2 linked regions of the Neodiprion lecontei genome follow. The protein of the gene in region 1 interacts with the protein of each later gene in a biochemical or structural test. Links are inferred from orthologs where the notes say so. Each region holds a gene or a part of one and is shown in the gene's direction. Other genes may lie near its edges.

Region 1 (6,750 bases):
ACATATTTAAACTTTATAGACAATAGATCGAAGAAACAGTCTGGAGAGCTTTAATTACGTAAAGTTATTATTGAAGATTTGTCACGAGTGTGTATATAAATAGATACACGCCCTGCGAAAAATTTTCCCGCAGTGTTATACCTACTTGTGTGCATATGTATTACCGCATGTTCTACCGTGTGCTGAAGTACATACATACATACTTACGATATCGAGGGAGGGCGCGCGTCAAAAGGGAAATATTTCAAACTTTTATGTAATCAATGAAATCGCTGTAAGAGCGGAATTATCGCCAATCGTTACCGAATCATGATACGCGTGACTGCACTGAAAACTTGGTGGGACCTATTCTGCGAATTCGCGGTCGTTAGCACAGACATTTAAACGTTCATCCCAAGACCGCGCTGCGACTTGACTCGCTACTGATTTGACACTGAAGTTCCGTGACGAAATCTAGCCACACACACACACACACTCGGAACACTCATATCGCCTTTATCACATGTACCTTCTACAAATTTCCACACACACATACACACACACACACACGTTACATGCGGTCGTGCGGTGTAATAAAATGGATAAAAAAAAAAACGAACTGAGAGGAATGTCGAGCGTTGTCGAGTATCGATTCGTAATGACCAACGATTTTCGAATTCTTCTTTCGTACCACTACCACATGGCGCTACGAAGCTACCGTAAAAACCGCGTAATATGAAATCGTTTGTACGGAATGAAAAGTCTCTCATCAAATACTGCTTCGTCGATATGAAAGGAAAAGAAGAAACAATTTTTCACAGTAACTGCGAAAATCAGTTTCTTTTGCTTCAAGACTAAAACCCCTCAATACGGAATTGATAACGGCCTTCGAGTCTCAAGTGAGCTACTGAATGTATTGATTCTTTATTCAGAAATATATATATATATATTTTTTTTTGTAGTTCTGTAAAATAGGGTACAAGGGAGAGTAAAGTGAAATATATTACAATAGATATGATGTGGAGGGTCTTCGTTCAGTCATTGTGATAAAATTTTGGACTATACTGCGAAGAGTATACTGGTAGTCTTCGCTTGTCTGGGCTGATTCCTTCTCTCGCTGAGTAATACCGTCTTTCGATAACTTTGTCGAAAAATCGGCTCAGCTTCACCGAAGAACTCGAGCCTGCAGCCAAGGATCTGACTTGATGACAATCCTGACAATGATCAAAGAAATCTTTAATTTAAAAAATAAAATCAATTTCAACCCAATGAAACAAACATACACAATATTTGGCATCGACCGTTTGCCTTTTAATTTTATTACCAAGAATATTTCGTCCGCTCCACATTCCTCAGCAATTGTAGATGAACGTCGATGAACACTTGATCTCACTTCTGCGGCCAGATCAAACTTTGTTGCAATTACCAAAATTGGTATCTGGAAATAAAATTTCAGGTTTTGACTCTTGTGAGGTGATTTTAATTTTGATAATTGTCAAAACATTACTAATCTATGAATGAAATTTGTAAAACTATACTTTTTTGTAAGCAATTCTCAAGCCATCATTCAAAGTTGACAGATTCTCATTTCATCGGCTAAGCAGCCAATTAAAAAATAGTTACTTGTGTTGAACCGACGAACTGTTCGGGATCAAAGTCGTCGAAAGATTTAGACTTGGAATGGTTACCGTCCTTGTTTAGAACTTCCTGAAGCCACTTCTGGAGATTCTGCTGCGACTTTCTATTAGTCAGATCGTGAACCAAGATAATACCTGAAAATGAGAAAATTCTATTATAATCAGAACACAAGTTTATCACGTATATTTCTGAGATTCTTACACCGTACTTTGCATACCATTTGTCGGATTGTAAAACACAGATCTAGTATTTTGGTGATTCTGACTACCGCCGATGTCCCACAACTCTATAAAGTATCTTCTTTGATTCGGAGTGCCTTCTTTGTACTCATGCAGCTTTACTTCAACCGAACATCCTACTGTCCACGACGGATTCCCTATCGGTTGTTGATGGCATATTAAATGAGTCAGTGAGGTTTTTCCAACACCTGTAAAAATAAAAGGAAGACTTGCTTACAGACTGTTTATATAATAAGTAACAACAAAAGTGGATCAAAATATGCATGTACAGTGCATAGATGGGTAAATAACCTTAAAAACCTCGTGATTTCCCCATGAATAAATATATTCGTAACCAAATTAAATCTACGATTTATTGCCGGAGGAACGGTAAAGCGGCGATGCAAACGAAGAAAATATTAAATTAAGTGAATTGCGTATACGTGGTGATCGCGATCTGTGAACAGATTCTTTTAGCGAATGATCCGAAGAACGAAGAATGCCGTTAATGGGTAAGTGATAATTTAGCAGAGGATAATTATACCAGAATCTCCGACAACGATTATTTTGACCTTATCGATCGCTGCCATTTGTACAGTTACATTCGAATTCTGACTTGAATTTCCTGACAGCAACCGGCGGAGCGGAATCTAGGTACAGTTTTTGTTTGACAAGCTCCACCTCCCCGCCGAACGCGGCATCATAACCTCAAGTAACGACTCTAGCCATCGATGCACCCTGTGTTAAATTTCCGAAAAACTATGCAATTACGCGTTATTTATCCGTGATCGTACCACCGCTGGAACTGTTAATTAAGAATGCGGCAATATTCGTTAATTGGAGTTACAAATAGGCCGTCGAAATAAGAAGAACCGGGTTTTTCCGATAGTTGAAGGTTATAATATCGTTGTGATGGCGAATAAGTAGATAACGAATTGAATGTTTTTACACCTAAGAAATGCATAAGACCACATCAACGCCCTAAAAAAATCCCTCTCACTAACAGTCCGAGTAAATGGTGGGAATTATTGTATTCGAATTATTAGCAGAGAAATGAGTGGGGAGGAAAGATTTGTCACCGAAGTGCCTAGCAGTTTGAAACAACTAGCACGGCTTGTTGTTCGCGGTTTTTATACCATAGAGGATGCCTTAATCGTTGACATGCTGGTCAGAAATCCCTGTAAGTGTAAATCTATTTAATTTGGCATCGCTCATCCCAGCCAACTAAAAAGTTTCAACTGTAGTTTTGTTTGTATCCTTCTATCAGGTATGAAGGAGGACGACATATGCGAGCTGCTAAAATTCGAGCGAAAAATGTTGAGAGCTAGAATATCTACGCTAAGGAATGACAAATTCATTCAAGTTAGACTTAAGATGGAAACTGGATCTGATGGAAAGGCGCAGAAAGTGAACTACTATTTCATCAATTACAAGGTAAAAATTGTCTCAGATTTTCCCTCCAAAATGCCTGCTAAATTTTGAATTTTAATCTTAATCCTTTAGACTTTTGTCAACGTTGTCAAGTATAAGTTGGATCACATGCGTAAGAAAATGGAAACGGAAGAACGAGACGCGACCAGCAGAGCCAGCTTCAAGTGCACAAATTGTCTTAAGACTTTCACGGACCTTGAGGTGAATCTAGCGATAGACAAACGTCTTGATGGACACAATCACAATTTCAATTTTTTTTATGGCAAACAATATTTATTCACAGGCAGATCAACTCTTTGATATGACAACAGACGAGTTCCGATGTACTTATTGTCGGAACATCGTTGAGGAAGATCAATCTGCTCTTCCGAAAAAAGACTCCAGGCTACTTCTGGCAAAATTTAACGAACAATTAGAGCCACTCTACATTCTGCTGCGAGAAGTCGAGGGTATAAAATTGGCACCTGAAATTCTCGAGCCTGAACCTGTTGACATCAATACCATACGAGGGTTAGCAATAAAAATATAATTTTCACTCTTGTTGGACAGCTGCAAATGACAAGTCAACTTTATATTCGACTGACATTACAGCATCGATACGAGGAAGCAAACTGGGCTTCGTGCTCCGGGTGAACAATGGTCAGGAGAGGCGACGAGGTCGTCTGGATTTGCTGTCGAAGATACGAGAGTGGATGTTACCATCGGCGATGAATCGGCCAATGATAACACTGCCAATCGTAGAAAAGAGAGGCCGATTTGGATGATGGAAAGCACTGTGGTAAACACAGATGGATCGCAGGTGTGTAAATGATGATATTGTAGAGAATGTGAATTTGGCAACGAATTTGAGAAAGCTGAATTTGAGAAAGTTGTTTTTGTTATTTCAGACGGACGTGGTTGGAGGCCAAGACAGTATTCTTGATAAGGCTGCAACGAACGCGACAAATGCAACGAACGCAACGAATAAACAGGGCGAAGACATAATGTCGGTGCTACTGGCGCACGAGAAAAAAGGAGGGACTAATGCTGCCAATGCCATTAAGACTGTAATACCTCAAGAATCTAGCGACAGTAGCGATAATGAGGATGTTACAGAGATACAGGCTATCGATATGGGTAATTGCTGCAAGATGATTGTATTTCTCAGCTTTTTAAGATGCTTATTTGAGACTTATTTCTTTGAACGATTCAGGTGATGTAGAGACGATGGATTCAGAGGACGACGACTTGGTGCCCACGGTTAGTGTGGGAGGAAAAACAGTTTCAATTACAGATATCAATGACACTTTGATTGCCGATATGACGCCGGCAGAGAAAGAAGCTTACATTCAAACGTATCAAGAATATTATTCGCACATGTACGATTAGTCTGAAAACAGCTTGCGAGAGTTATATTTTTAAATTAAATTGTACGATGACTGTGAATTTACACACATATACGTGAAGTATGAGAATATTTTGTATAAGTATGAATATAATAAAAATCCATTGTTCACAGCTCCGTGTTTTGTAATTTGCCTTTAACAGCTGACTCGTGTGATACTGAGCTATAATTGCCATGAAAGACTGGTCAAATTTAAGAATTTATTAACATACTTGAAACCTAATATACAATAATATCAATCCAATAACATGTGGAATTAACGATACATTGATCAAGAAAATATATTGAATACGTGATAATAAATAACACTGAATTATTAACAATAATAGAACTAAAATAATTAATCAATAATAATACATGTCACTTCTGGTAAGAACGGGAAATGTCATTATTTATACTATATTAAATGTTTTTCTTTCCCTACCAACTTCTTATGTTATCACTGGATAATAAGTAAAACTTACTTGGGGATATCTTTTTTTTTGCTCGTCTATTTCAAAATTTTTGCTCGACCACCACAATCGAACCCAAATTTGGGGATGATAGAACAAGGATTTTCTGCATATTTTTCGTTTTTTTTTCTTTTTATCAGTTTTTTCGATAATTCAATAGGTAATAATTTTATCGTAAACAAGTTATTTGAGGTAACTTTATGTACATTATAACTTGACTTACGAGACTTGATATATCACTCTACAATTCGGTTTATAACTACTTACTTTTCATTGCTTGCTTTGAAAAGAACCCAAGCATCGCATAATATCACACAAGCAATGGCATCGCGCATCGTTTTTCCCCCTCAATAATTTTTCTTCACGTCCTATACATTAGATCATACAAAAATGTCATCGGCTTTCAGAATATTCGTGGTAACATCAACAAAATCTGATCAGATTTTCTGATTGTTGATACTTTTGAAAGGATTACATTTTCATACTTGCATTTCAAAATTCTTTCACTGTTACGCCAGGCAATTTGATATTTTGCCCTTACAAGCTGTCAACTCGAAAATGAGAATAGACGCATGATTAAAATAAAGACTTAACGATCTTCTATGACTCACTTGCAAACGTAAAATTGGTGCGACTAATTTCAACAATTGAATATTCATAGTGCGAAGTCGTCTACGATGCATATCCATTGCAAAAGTAGATAAATTTACATTCTTTTCATAGCATGTGCAGCGTATACTCCTCGGTGTTTTATTCTGGCTCGTTAAGACGCAAGCGAGCAAAGTCCTCAAAGACAATGTTGTCGTCGTCGTCATTGGCGTAGCAAGAGTTTTCATAGCGTGCACGATCGATGCTCTTGCTCTTCTTCAAAACTGCTTTCTCCTTCTCTAGGGCACCTGTCGCAGAAGAAATGACGATTAAGATATGAAGCGTACTCAGGTAAAAAAATGTTCAGCCACTCAACTAACCAGGAGCAGGGTGCATCAGCTTGAGCGGAACATCTGTGACAAGTTCACCTCCCAAAGTGCCGCAGTTCAGCTTTACGCGAACGGAGTACGAAATGACTATACCCATTGCCTCTGCAGGGCATTTTCCCTCAGCAACCAATGTGGAGGAGGCCAAATTCACGTCATCGTCCTAAAAAAAATGAAAGCTTAGATATGCCGATACAGGAAACATCATGAATTCCCTCACTTTCAGATGTCCGTCAAGAGCAATACCGCGACGATCCTTGTTGCTACTGGCCAATGGAACGAGATAAAACTGCTTGGTGAACGAAGCACCAGGTGTGATGGGGCAGCCTTCGCGGGTCTCCAAGCTTGCAACATGCCGTGAAAACTGAGCGTTCACCATTGTCACCTCGCAATGTTGGACAACATAGAGCTGTCGGAGAGTAAAAGACACATCGTGAGGATGATATTCTCTCTGCCAAATAGAGGCTGAGGGTTGTCACCATGTACCTTGATGTTCTTGACTGCCTTTCGAGAGTTGTTGGTGACAATGACATTGGCAGAGACTTTCTCCCCGTGGTAATAGATCTCCTTGTCCAACGTTACCTCGAGGTTCAATTTTCCCTGGGAGAAGGTGAAGCCCTTAGAGACGAGGGAGCTCGGCAGGCGGCGTCCTCGCATTGCCGGGGCAAATTGGA
Region 2 (9,129 bases), on another chromosome or scaffold:
AATCAGTTCTCTGAAGAACGGAGGATAATAATTCTCCCCGCCCTCTCTGTCGCTCTTCACATGGAGTGGGGATAGCTGCACGCGCCTGCCTATCTGTTTTTCTCCTCTGTAGAATTATTATCCTGTCCTTTAGAGAACCGATTCGAATCCGTTCACGGGACGCTTACACCGTTGCTTACGCTCTATTTTATACATCTCTATGGTCTCAGCGGCCGAATGAAAACACCGCCTAAGCTGCGCACAACGCGATCAAATGTGTAGAACATTGCCGTAACAATGTGCGACGTCAAACGAAGTATGAATGCTCGGACCAATTACGGATATTACTTGAAAGGGATTTTCTCAGCTTTTCAATTTCACTATGACGACGGTATGTTACCAACGTTTTGCACGCGATAGTTGTTAGTTATGAAGAATTTCTGTTACCGACGTCGTCAGCTGCCTGGTTGATGAAACGTGAAACTGCTAATACCCCCAAACCCAGCAAACTGTTACGCACAATAACCCAGCGTTATCAATCTTTATACATATGCCCTCGGTCAACGCACACACTTAAACTTTCGCCGAACCGACTTCAGCGATTCTCCGGATCTAACTGCCTTTCCTCGGAGTTCGGACTTACGCGACAGAGTACGCGAGCGGTATTCGCGCGAGCCCTGCCCTCTGGTGGTCGATCCATACAACCGCGGCACGACAATCTTTCTATCGTGACAACCACCGTTGCCCCTCAAATTCAAACCACCACACTAGCCAATATTTCATATTGTTGTTCTAAAAGGCTGCGTGAAAATTGTTGATTATTTGCTAAATTATGCAAGCCGAGATAACTGATGTAAGTGGTTTCGTTAATGCTGAAACCATCACAAGTCGTAAACTAGTATTGTAAAAAACTAACACGGATATTGATAAGATATTAGTAAAAAAACGGAGCAGACTGTCATGTCAACAATGTACAAATCGAGACAGCCCTAGACTTAGCTAAAACTGGGTCAAAAGTTAAAAATACACTGAGTTTTTGCCAAAAATAAACGTAAGGTGCACTGGAGTCGTACAGATAACAACACTGAAACTTTATTCAATGTTTGAATTCTATGTTATCGTTGATTCATATGAAAACGAATAATCGATAACGGCTAGTGCATCGGAAGTAAATGTTTGTACTTTTCAAAACCTAAATATTATTATTGTATAAGATTTATGTATATTCTATGTGAAGAATTTCTCAATTGTTCATCTTGTTATACATATTAGCACACTTTATTTTTATGTCTTTAAATAAAAATATACGTACGATGTGTTCTGTAAATTAATCTCCAAAAATTACTTACAATTTCGAATGGTACAAATGATTTTATGTGTGAGATTATTTTTTGCAAATGAATTTTATCACCATTTTCTTATTTCTCGTTTGATAAATTATTTTAACTCAATGGATTTGATCACTTTTAGCTCTTTGTATTTTACGAATCAGATAATAGTCATTCATCTGGATCTTCCATCATAACAAATCCATCTATTTCGTAACACAGGTCTGCAAAGGATTGCTCCGTCAAAAAAAAAAAAATTCCGACTTGAAGATTTTAATGTGCCGAATTTATATCTGCTTTCCATTTTCTGCTGTCACGCATATGTATATTACAGGATATGATTTTTTTATTGTTTAAAATTAAGAATTTGTTGTGTTTTGTTTTTACATTTGCACTACTTTAATCTATTTAAACAGTATTCGTAGTATTCGTACATGATACAAACCAGTTCGAACTGATGAAAGAGAAAGAAACATATCGCCTAACGCCGTTTTATTCACACCATGCATGCGTCTGCGCAGTTCTCGTTGTGCCTTCATGTCGTACAGTACGTTAAAATGTTGTCTAGTGTGAAAGAAAATGACAAAATAACTAGAATTATACTAGTAGATAGATTTTCTTTCGATTTTAATGCGTAAACATTTTAATTTTATGACATTTTTTATAAACATTGTTGCTATCATTAGTGTTTGATTATAATGTGTAAGCAAAAATAGCGTTATATTAAAAAAAAATTACATGAAAAATATACGTGGTTCATATTATTTGTTACTGTATTTCTATTCAAGAGCATCTAATCTAATAAGAAGGAGGAAAAAAAAGATTTTCTTGCAGACCAGTGATAATTACAATGAATATTATCCACTTGTAGTACTTTCGGATTCATTAAAATTCTGTTTCAGTTTCCCTTTTTCGTTTTGTCGTGCAAATTTGTATTTTTAAGAGAATCGATGTACATACCGTTGTGCGAAACTCAATCCTTATTCCGATGTATCGATGAATGGAATCGATTCTGCCAAAAGGCGATACCAGCCTGTTTATTTTGCCGCGTTTAAAGTGGTGGACTACTTCACGGTAGCTTCGTGGCTACCACAAGCCAACGTGGACAATCATGTGAAGCTTGTCGATAGTTGAAGCCTGTCAAACGTTTGTAGGTTATGTTTGTGAAATCGATGCTGTTATTGTGAAAAATTAAGTATAAATTGATCACAGATGAACTATGAATGACAACGATTCGATATACGGGACGACTCTGTCCCAGGAGTCCATGAAAGTGATCGCAGAAAGCATTGGGGTCGGAAATCTTCCTGACGAGGCTGCCAAGGATCTCGCCGAGGATGTAAGCTACAGGCTAAAGGAGATCATTCAGGCAAGTTGCGGTAGTATTCTCTGTTTTCTCCTCTCAATTTACATATATTCGACGAATTTTAAACTCTCCGAAGTCACCACTGAGCTACGTTTTGAAATATTTAATCTCGTTTGCCTACTTTTCAATTTTTATTTATCTCATTTCGCCATCTCTGGACATATTTCGTCCTTATTCATCCATGTCGATGTAAAATTTGACTGTATATGAATGTTCGCCACATTTTTCCATTCGTTTTCAGTCACACATTAGTCATATTTTACCTAATTATATTGGTATTGAAAAGGCGTTCACAGTGTAAACATTGTGGATGCACAAGCGCGGTTAGGTTACCATCATGGTGGAGGGATTCAAGAACTGCGAATGTGTACGTACACCACATACGCATACAGCCGTACAGCTCTTGTATCGCAGCAAATATTTTTATTCTTTGTAATAATTTCCCCCTTCTGTCGTCATGACCACCATACACATTTCATGCTCTGCATTCCAATCACGTTATTTTTGGGTACATTTGGCTTTTTATTTTATTATTTATGACTATTTATAATTTCAATACTGTTTCAATATTCAGCTCATTATTTAATTTCTCTAGCTGTTTTTGCCTACCAAAGGTCTTATTTCTTTACTTTTGACCATCAATTAATCTTATTTGGCTATTTCTAAACTAATTGTCATCTATTTATGGCAAACTAATGATAGCTGACTGTTTAGCTGTATTTCAACTGTTTTCAAAATTGTCCCTCATCCATGTTTAGTCACATTATAATAATGATTTGACTATTTTTTTTACTTCATTTAGTCATACGTAGCCATGCATAAGCATTATTTTTTCCCTCTTTCACAATTTGTTAGTCTGTTTAGGATGTTCTTGAATACATTTCATCATTTTCTGCTATTAATTGAGTTTCTTTGACTCCTCTTGACGTACACTAATCTTAGTCAAATTTTTTTACCTCTCATTAGTTCTTTCAAATTATTTTTGGACAGATTACGGCCTTCAACGTAAATCCTTTGCCGATAAATAGTTTTATTTCACTATTTTCAATTGTATTTTCATTAAAATTGGCCACCAGTTCTATTTTACAGGTTTTATTTAAACATGTGTTGGTTCACCATTATCCGTTTGCTCATCATGTTTGATTACTTTTTGATGCATTTCGACTGGTTTTAGTGTTGCTTTGGTCATATTTGGTCGATTTCACATTTATTTGCCATAATAAAAGAGATTTTTCTACTTCCAACAATAGACTAATTTCATCACCCACCTTCGTGTTCACTTTTCATATCATCCTTAAATTAACTTCTCAAATACCTATTCAGGATGCAGCAAAATTCATGCACCACAGTAAGCGTCAGAGGATGACTGCACACGACATCGACCATGCATTAAAGATAAAGAACATCGAGCCGACATATGGCTTCTTTGCGCGAGAAAACGTCCCCTTCAGATTCGCATCGGGAGGAGGTAGAGAATTGCACTTTGTCGAGGACAAGGAGATAGACTTGAACGAAGCAGTGTCCAACAGCCAGTCGTGGCCTAAGCTACCGCTCGAAGTAACGTTGCGAGCCCATTGGCTTTGCATTGATGGCGTCCAGCCGACGATTCCAGAAAATCCACCTCCTGTATCCAAGGGTGAATTGAAAAGCCTTATCGGTCATTCACGAATATTTCATCACTTCATGATGCTGTTCATCTGAAAAATAAATTCAAAAAATTTCCAGACGCGCAAAAGGTTGAGAGTGTTGATCCGACAAGCAAGCTCACTGCCAAGGGTCAGAGTGTCGGCATTGGTAAGCCGGGAGGAGGAGGAAAGAGTCAAAAGTTGAGAAACGTTGAGACGGTGCATGTAAAGCAGCTTGCTACCCACGAGCTCAGTGTTGAGCAGCAGCTCTACTACAAGGAGATAACCGAGGCCTGCGTTGGATCGGACGAGGCTCGTAGAGCTGAGGCCCTGCAATCTTTGTCTGCGGATCCTGGTTTGCATGAAATGCTTGCCAGAATGTGCACCTTCATCGCCGAAGGCGTCAGGGTCAATGTGGTGCAAAACAATCTCGCACTTCTCATTTACCTCATGAGAATGGTCAAAGCCCTTCTCGACAATCCCAGCCTTTATCTAGAGAAATACGTGAGTAATTTGCCACAAAAAATTTCACAACACAGCAGCAGCGGCTTTCACGATAGTTGAGAATTCAAGGAGATCATGAAAATCACGAAAATCCAGGCTAAACGAATTGTCAAAGAAATTATAGAAATAACTGCAATCTCTTCTTTCTCGATGATTTGTTCCTTGAATTATTTCAAATCTTACTGGCTTTTATTTCTCTATTTTAACATCAATAGAACTAATTTCAGCTGCACGAGCTGATACCGTCAGTAGCGACGTGCATAGTCTCTCGGCAGCTATGCATGAGACCTGAAATGGACAATCATTGGGCGCTGAGAGATTTTGCATCACGCCTGATGGCCCAGATCTGCAAGAACTTCAACACGTCGACGAACAATGTGCAGACCAGAGTTACTCGCATGTTTAGTCAGGCGCTGGCTAAGAATAGTCAGGTAAATCAATTCGGGGTAAGAAATTATCGACATCCTTACCTGCGGCTAAGAGGAAACTAACACTTCTGTTATCTTCAGACGCCCTTGGCCTCGCTCTACGGGGCGATCGAAGGACTCTCTGAGCTCGGCCCAGAGGTGGTCAAGGCGCTGATCATTCCAAAGATAAAATCCATATCTGAGAGGATCGAGAGCTGCATTGAGGGGCCCGTACTTTCCAGTATTGATAAAAACGGTGCTGGTCATATCAAGACGCTGTTAGTTGTGAGTGAACTTTTAAACTGCTCGAAACTCTCTTCGCAGTTGATTTAAGATTGTGTTGGCTTTTTTAGAAAGTTGTCGCTCCTGTGTTGAAAGGCATGCGTCCGGCTCCGGATTACGTTGAAGAGTACAAACAAGACTTTGGATACGTCGGTCCAGTGCTTTGTGCCGCTGTTGCTAAAGCTCGAATCCAACCTGCAACTCTTACCACCTCCGCAACGGCCTCCACCACTCTCACCACAAACCAGCAACAGGGACCAACCACTGTGGTGACAAAACCGCTCGTTCAATCAGGTAAAATAACATGTTTCACTATTGGGAAGCAAGGGAAATGGCGCAGGATATTATTAATGCTGTGCCAGTTATGCTGAATTTCTTAGAGATGTTTGAAAATCTTGTGGCAATTGACTGACTCTTAGTAATTCTAGGAAATCTTCATAGTTTAGGAATCTATGATTCAAAACAGAATAAATTACGCAAATCAGGGTAGTCTCTATTTGGTAGGTTGAAAACACTGAAATGGTTGGCGATTTTTGTTTTACCTCTAAAAAGAAACGAAAAGTCTGAGGATTTCGTCGAATGTGTTACGGGGTGTATGATTGTTATCACGATGAGCGGCTATCGATGACCAAATTACCAAAGTATAATTTCTCGAGATAGATTACGTTGTTCATTACTTTAACTTTTATAGACACAAAAATAATCCATAAAATTACCGTTTTGGATCTGGAGAACCTGAATAAGTAAAAAATTCCCCAATTCAAAATCAGTAGCAACCCTGTTTCGTGAATCCTATTGCCGGGAATCACCAAAATCATGTTACACCTTTCAAAAAATCCTCAGATCTTATGAGAGATCCAGAACGATCATTTGATATTGACTAAAGTACATACCTTCGGGAATGCGAATTCGTTATGCTCTTTTCTTCTGTTGTTTTGGAATCGTCCGAAACTGTGTATACTCTGAATACTTATTTGAAAATTGTTGAAATTTTTCTTGAACATCTCGGTAGACAGAAAAGGATTGGAACTTATTGAACCCGATTCGTTTCGATGATTTTCCGGTCCGAGTTTCACAAGAAAATTGATCCATGATAAGAAACTCAATGTGAATTAATCGTTCAATTTTTTTGAATATGTGTCTAGGGATTTGATATGTTTCCACTTTCTTACGTGTCAATTACAATAAAATCACTTGGAATGTTCCCGGTGAATTTTTTTGTACGAAAGGATCAAACAGGAATGGATCGAAACGAAATTAGGTATTACAGCTTGAATTGAATTGAAATTGCGTTGTAATTCAAACATAACAGAATGGCGAAGAAACGAATCCGTAGACACGCATTGAAAACGCTAGAACGATTAAATCGGATTGATGTCAGCATAATGCAGTACGTTTACTTGATAATTTGGAATTGGCAGACGCCAAAATAAATTTTTTCTAGTACAATTGAATCTTTTTTAATTTACTGGGATCCGAATATCCAATCTTCCGAAATTTATTCACTTTACATTTGAGGCTGATCTATGATTCCAGTGCCCGCGGGTAGCCCAGGTCAGCAGGCTCCTAGCAGAACGATGATACTGGGTTCCGGCAGGGGTGGAACAACGCCGACGGGCGGCTGTCAGAAGTTCGTCATACTTCAGTCGAGATCGCAGACACCGACGATGCCGAACGTCGTACAAACACCAGGCCAACAGCAGCAACAGCAGCAGGTCAAGATAACGCAAAATAGTTCTAGTCATCAACAAAAGCAACATCTCCAGGGTAGCACCCCAAAACTGGTGGTGGTTTGCATGCCTAGTAGTAACCAGAACGCCACGACCACTGTGTCTCAGGTACATGGATCAAGTCTATACACCGAATCGCTACCTCATTCTTCTTGGTTTTTTTCCGTTTTTGTGCTTTTGCATCAAGTCGCGTTCTTTTTGTATACTTAGAAACACAATTGACATCAGCTACTAGTATCATCCAGTCTGTTTAATCGCTGAAATTAATGCGCATAGGGGGTAAACTGTGAAGTACGTCGATTTTGTTATGTTCTTTACTTATGAACTCATCGTTGAAAAATTTACGATATAGTACCAAATCAGCGTGTACATGTATATGCGTAGTTTATCGACCGAAGGCACAGTGTAGTGAGTAATTGCGAAATTTCAGAGATCTATTTTATTTGTTTTTTTTTTCCTTTGCTTTATCGTGTGTTCAGATGCTTTGTTTGAAAATTCGATTTCCCGTCCCGTCGAACACGGAAAGATCGAAACGGATTAAAAACAAGTCGTTTCATAAGAATGTTTTCATTTTTTTTCACGCAACTAAATTAGAAAAAATTTATTCACCATATTTTTTTATTCTTGTTTTTTACAGGCCAGTCTTACTTCTAAACCACAGACAGTCTTTGTTACTCAACAAAGCATCGAAAGATCTCTGAGCCCCACCGACGAGCACGCTTTTCAATAGATTGAATAATATATTTATTAATAAAATTTATACGTATATGCCAATATTTTTTCTAATCCTAATTGTAACGAACAAAGCACAACGTTTTGTCTAGTTGTAACTCAAGTTAGTTTAAAACAAAATAAAAAAATTCAATACCAATATCCGTTGTTCTACTTTTCATTCGTTCGCAGTTTTCTAACCGGTAATTAATCAACCTTGGTCATTTCTAACTTCGATAAATTACAAATAAGACTTTGACCTCATTACGATTGAAAATTTCTACAGCTCACCTTGCAGGTTGAGGTTTTTTTGGTTGAACCAGCTGATCGATTCACCGGAAAAAAATAAAAATTCAACTAATACTTCGTCGGTACAGTTTAACACTAGATCCCATAAAACACACGAGGTGACTGTTTTTACCGATCTTTACAATCTTCCGTCAATGGTAATGACTGGGTGGTAGTTTCATCTTCGTTAACGGTATCGTTCGAAGTAGTTGATGCCTTTTTGTGAAATTCTGAACTCCGTAGATACGATGTTTCAGCAATTTCGGAAAGTTTTTCTGCCATTGTCTTGCCAGTTTGTTGAAGCATTTGAAAAAAGTGACCGTTACGATTTTTCAACAGCAAATAAGGATGATCAAACTCCTGCACATCGGATAAAGATGGTAGAAAAAAACAAGGATATTAGTTATTCAACAGTTTGCTTAAAATAATTATTTTGAGACTTGGTTGGACGATGTAATAGTTCACGTACCACGATGCGACCTTCCGTCATGACCAAGACTCGATCATTATCCATTATTGTGTTTAACCGGTGAGCTATCGTCAAGACAGTACAATCAGAAAATCTCCGTCTGATGGTGTCTTGGATAAGGGCATCGGTGCTGGAAGCCAGAAACATATATACCAAATTGAAATAAACAAGATAACTAATTAAAATGATGACAAATTCGACCTGATCTACACTGACCTACGGTCAATGTTCGCGGTAGCCTCGTCAAGAACGAGCAGTCGATTGTTCCTGAGAATAGCTCTAGCCAAGCAGATTAACTGGCGCTGCCCAACGCTGAAATTAGCACCACCTCCAGCGACTCGGAAGCCAAGGGATTGTACCGCATTACCGAGTTCAACTTCTCTCAGACTGTCCCATAGAGCGGCGTCCGAGTACTGTTCAAAGGGGTCCAAATTGTAGCG

What was found.
Region 2: the proteins of general transcription factor IIE subunit 1 (region 1) and transcription initiation factor TFIID subunit 6 form a complex in vitro, tested with the Homo sapiens proteins (2 studies listed by BioGRID). The link is inferred for Neodiprion lecontei from reciprocal best matches to the Homo sapiens genes GTF2E1 and TAF6.

What each region holds. Positions count from the first base shown.
Region 1 is NC_060263.1:15,135,008-15,141,757, forward strand, and holds general transcription factor IIE subunit 1, read left to right. Parts: upstream 1-2,300; 5' UTR 2,301-2,315; coding exon 2,316-2,347; intron 2,348-2,379; coding exon of another isoform or gene 2,380-2,425; exon of another isoform or gene 2,426-2,879; intron 2,880-2,881; coding exon 2,882-3,015; intron 3,016-3,102; coding exon 3,103-3,269; intron 3,270-3,338; coding exon 3,339-3,467; intron 3,468-3,549; coding exon 3,550-3,776; intron 3,777-3,857; coding exon 3,858-4,065; intron 4,066-4,153; coding exon 4,154-4,382; intron 4,383-4,458; coding exon 4,459-4,634; 3' UTR 4,635-5,008; coding exon of another isoform or gene 5,009-5,039; 3' UTR 5,040-5,478; downstream 5,479-6,750. Other genes in the region: putative ATPase N2B, read right to left, coding at 5,009-5,039; rab-like protein 3, read right to left, coding at 1,014-1,193, 1,304-1,417, 1,603-1,751, 1,835-2,044, 2,380-2,425; arrestin homolog, read right to left, coding at 5,853-5,998, 6,071-6,239, 6,297-6,485, 6,563-6,750.
Region 2 is NC_060264.1:21,659,133-21,668,261, reverse strand, and holds transcription initiation factor TFIID subunit 6, read left to right. Parts: upstream 1-2,389; 5' UTR 2,390-2,526; coding exon 2,527-2,676; intron 2,677-3,996; coding exon 3,997-4,309; intron 4,310-4,398; coding exon 4,399-4,802; intron 4,803-5,029; coding exon 5,030-5,248; intron 5,249-5,311; coding exon 5,312-5,494; intron 5,495-5,562; coding exon 5,563-5,785; intron 5,786-7,027; coding exon 7,028-7,329; intron 7,330-7,800; exon of another isoform or gene 7,801-7,858; coding exon 7,859-7,951; 3' UTR 7,952-8,092; downstream 8,093-9,129. Other genes in the region: ATP-binding cassette sub-family C member 4-like, read right to left, coding at 8,350-8,580, 8,690-8,819, 8,906-9,129. UniProt on the Homo sapiens protein: The TFIID basal transcription factor complex plays a major role in the initiation of RNA polymerase II (Pol II)-dependent transcription.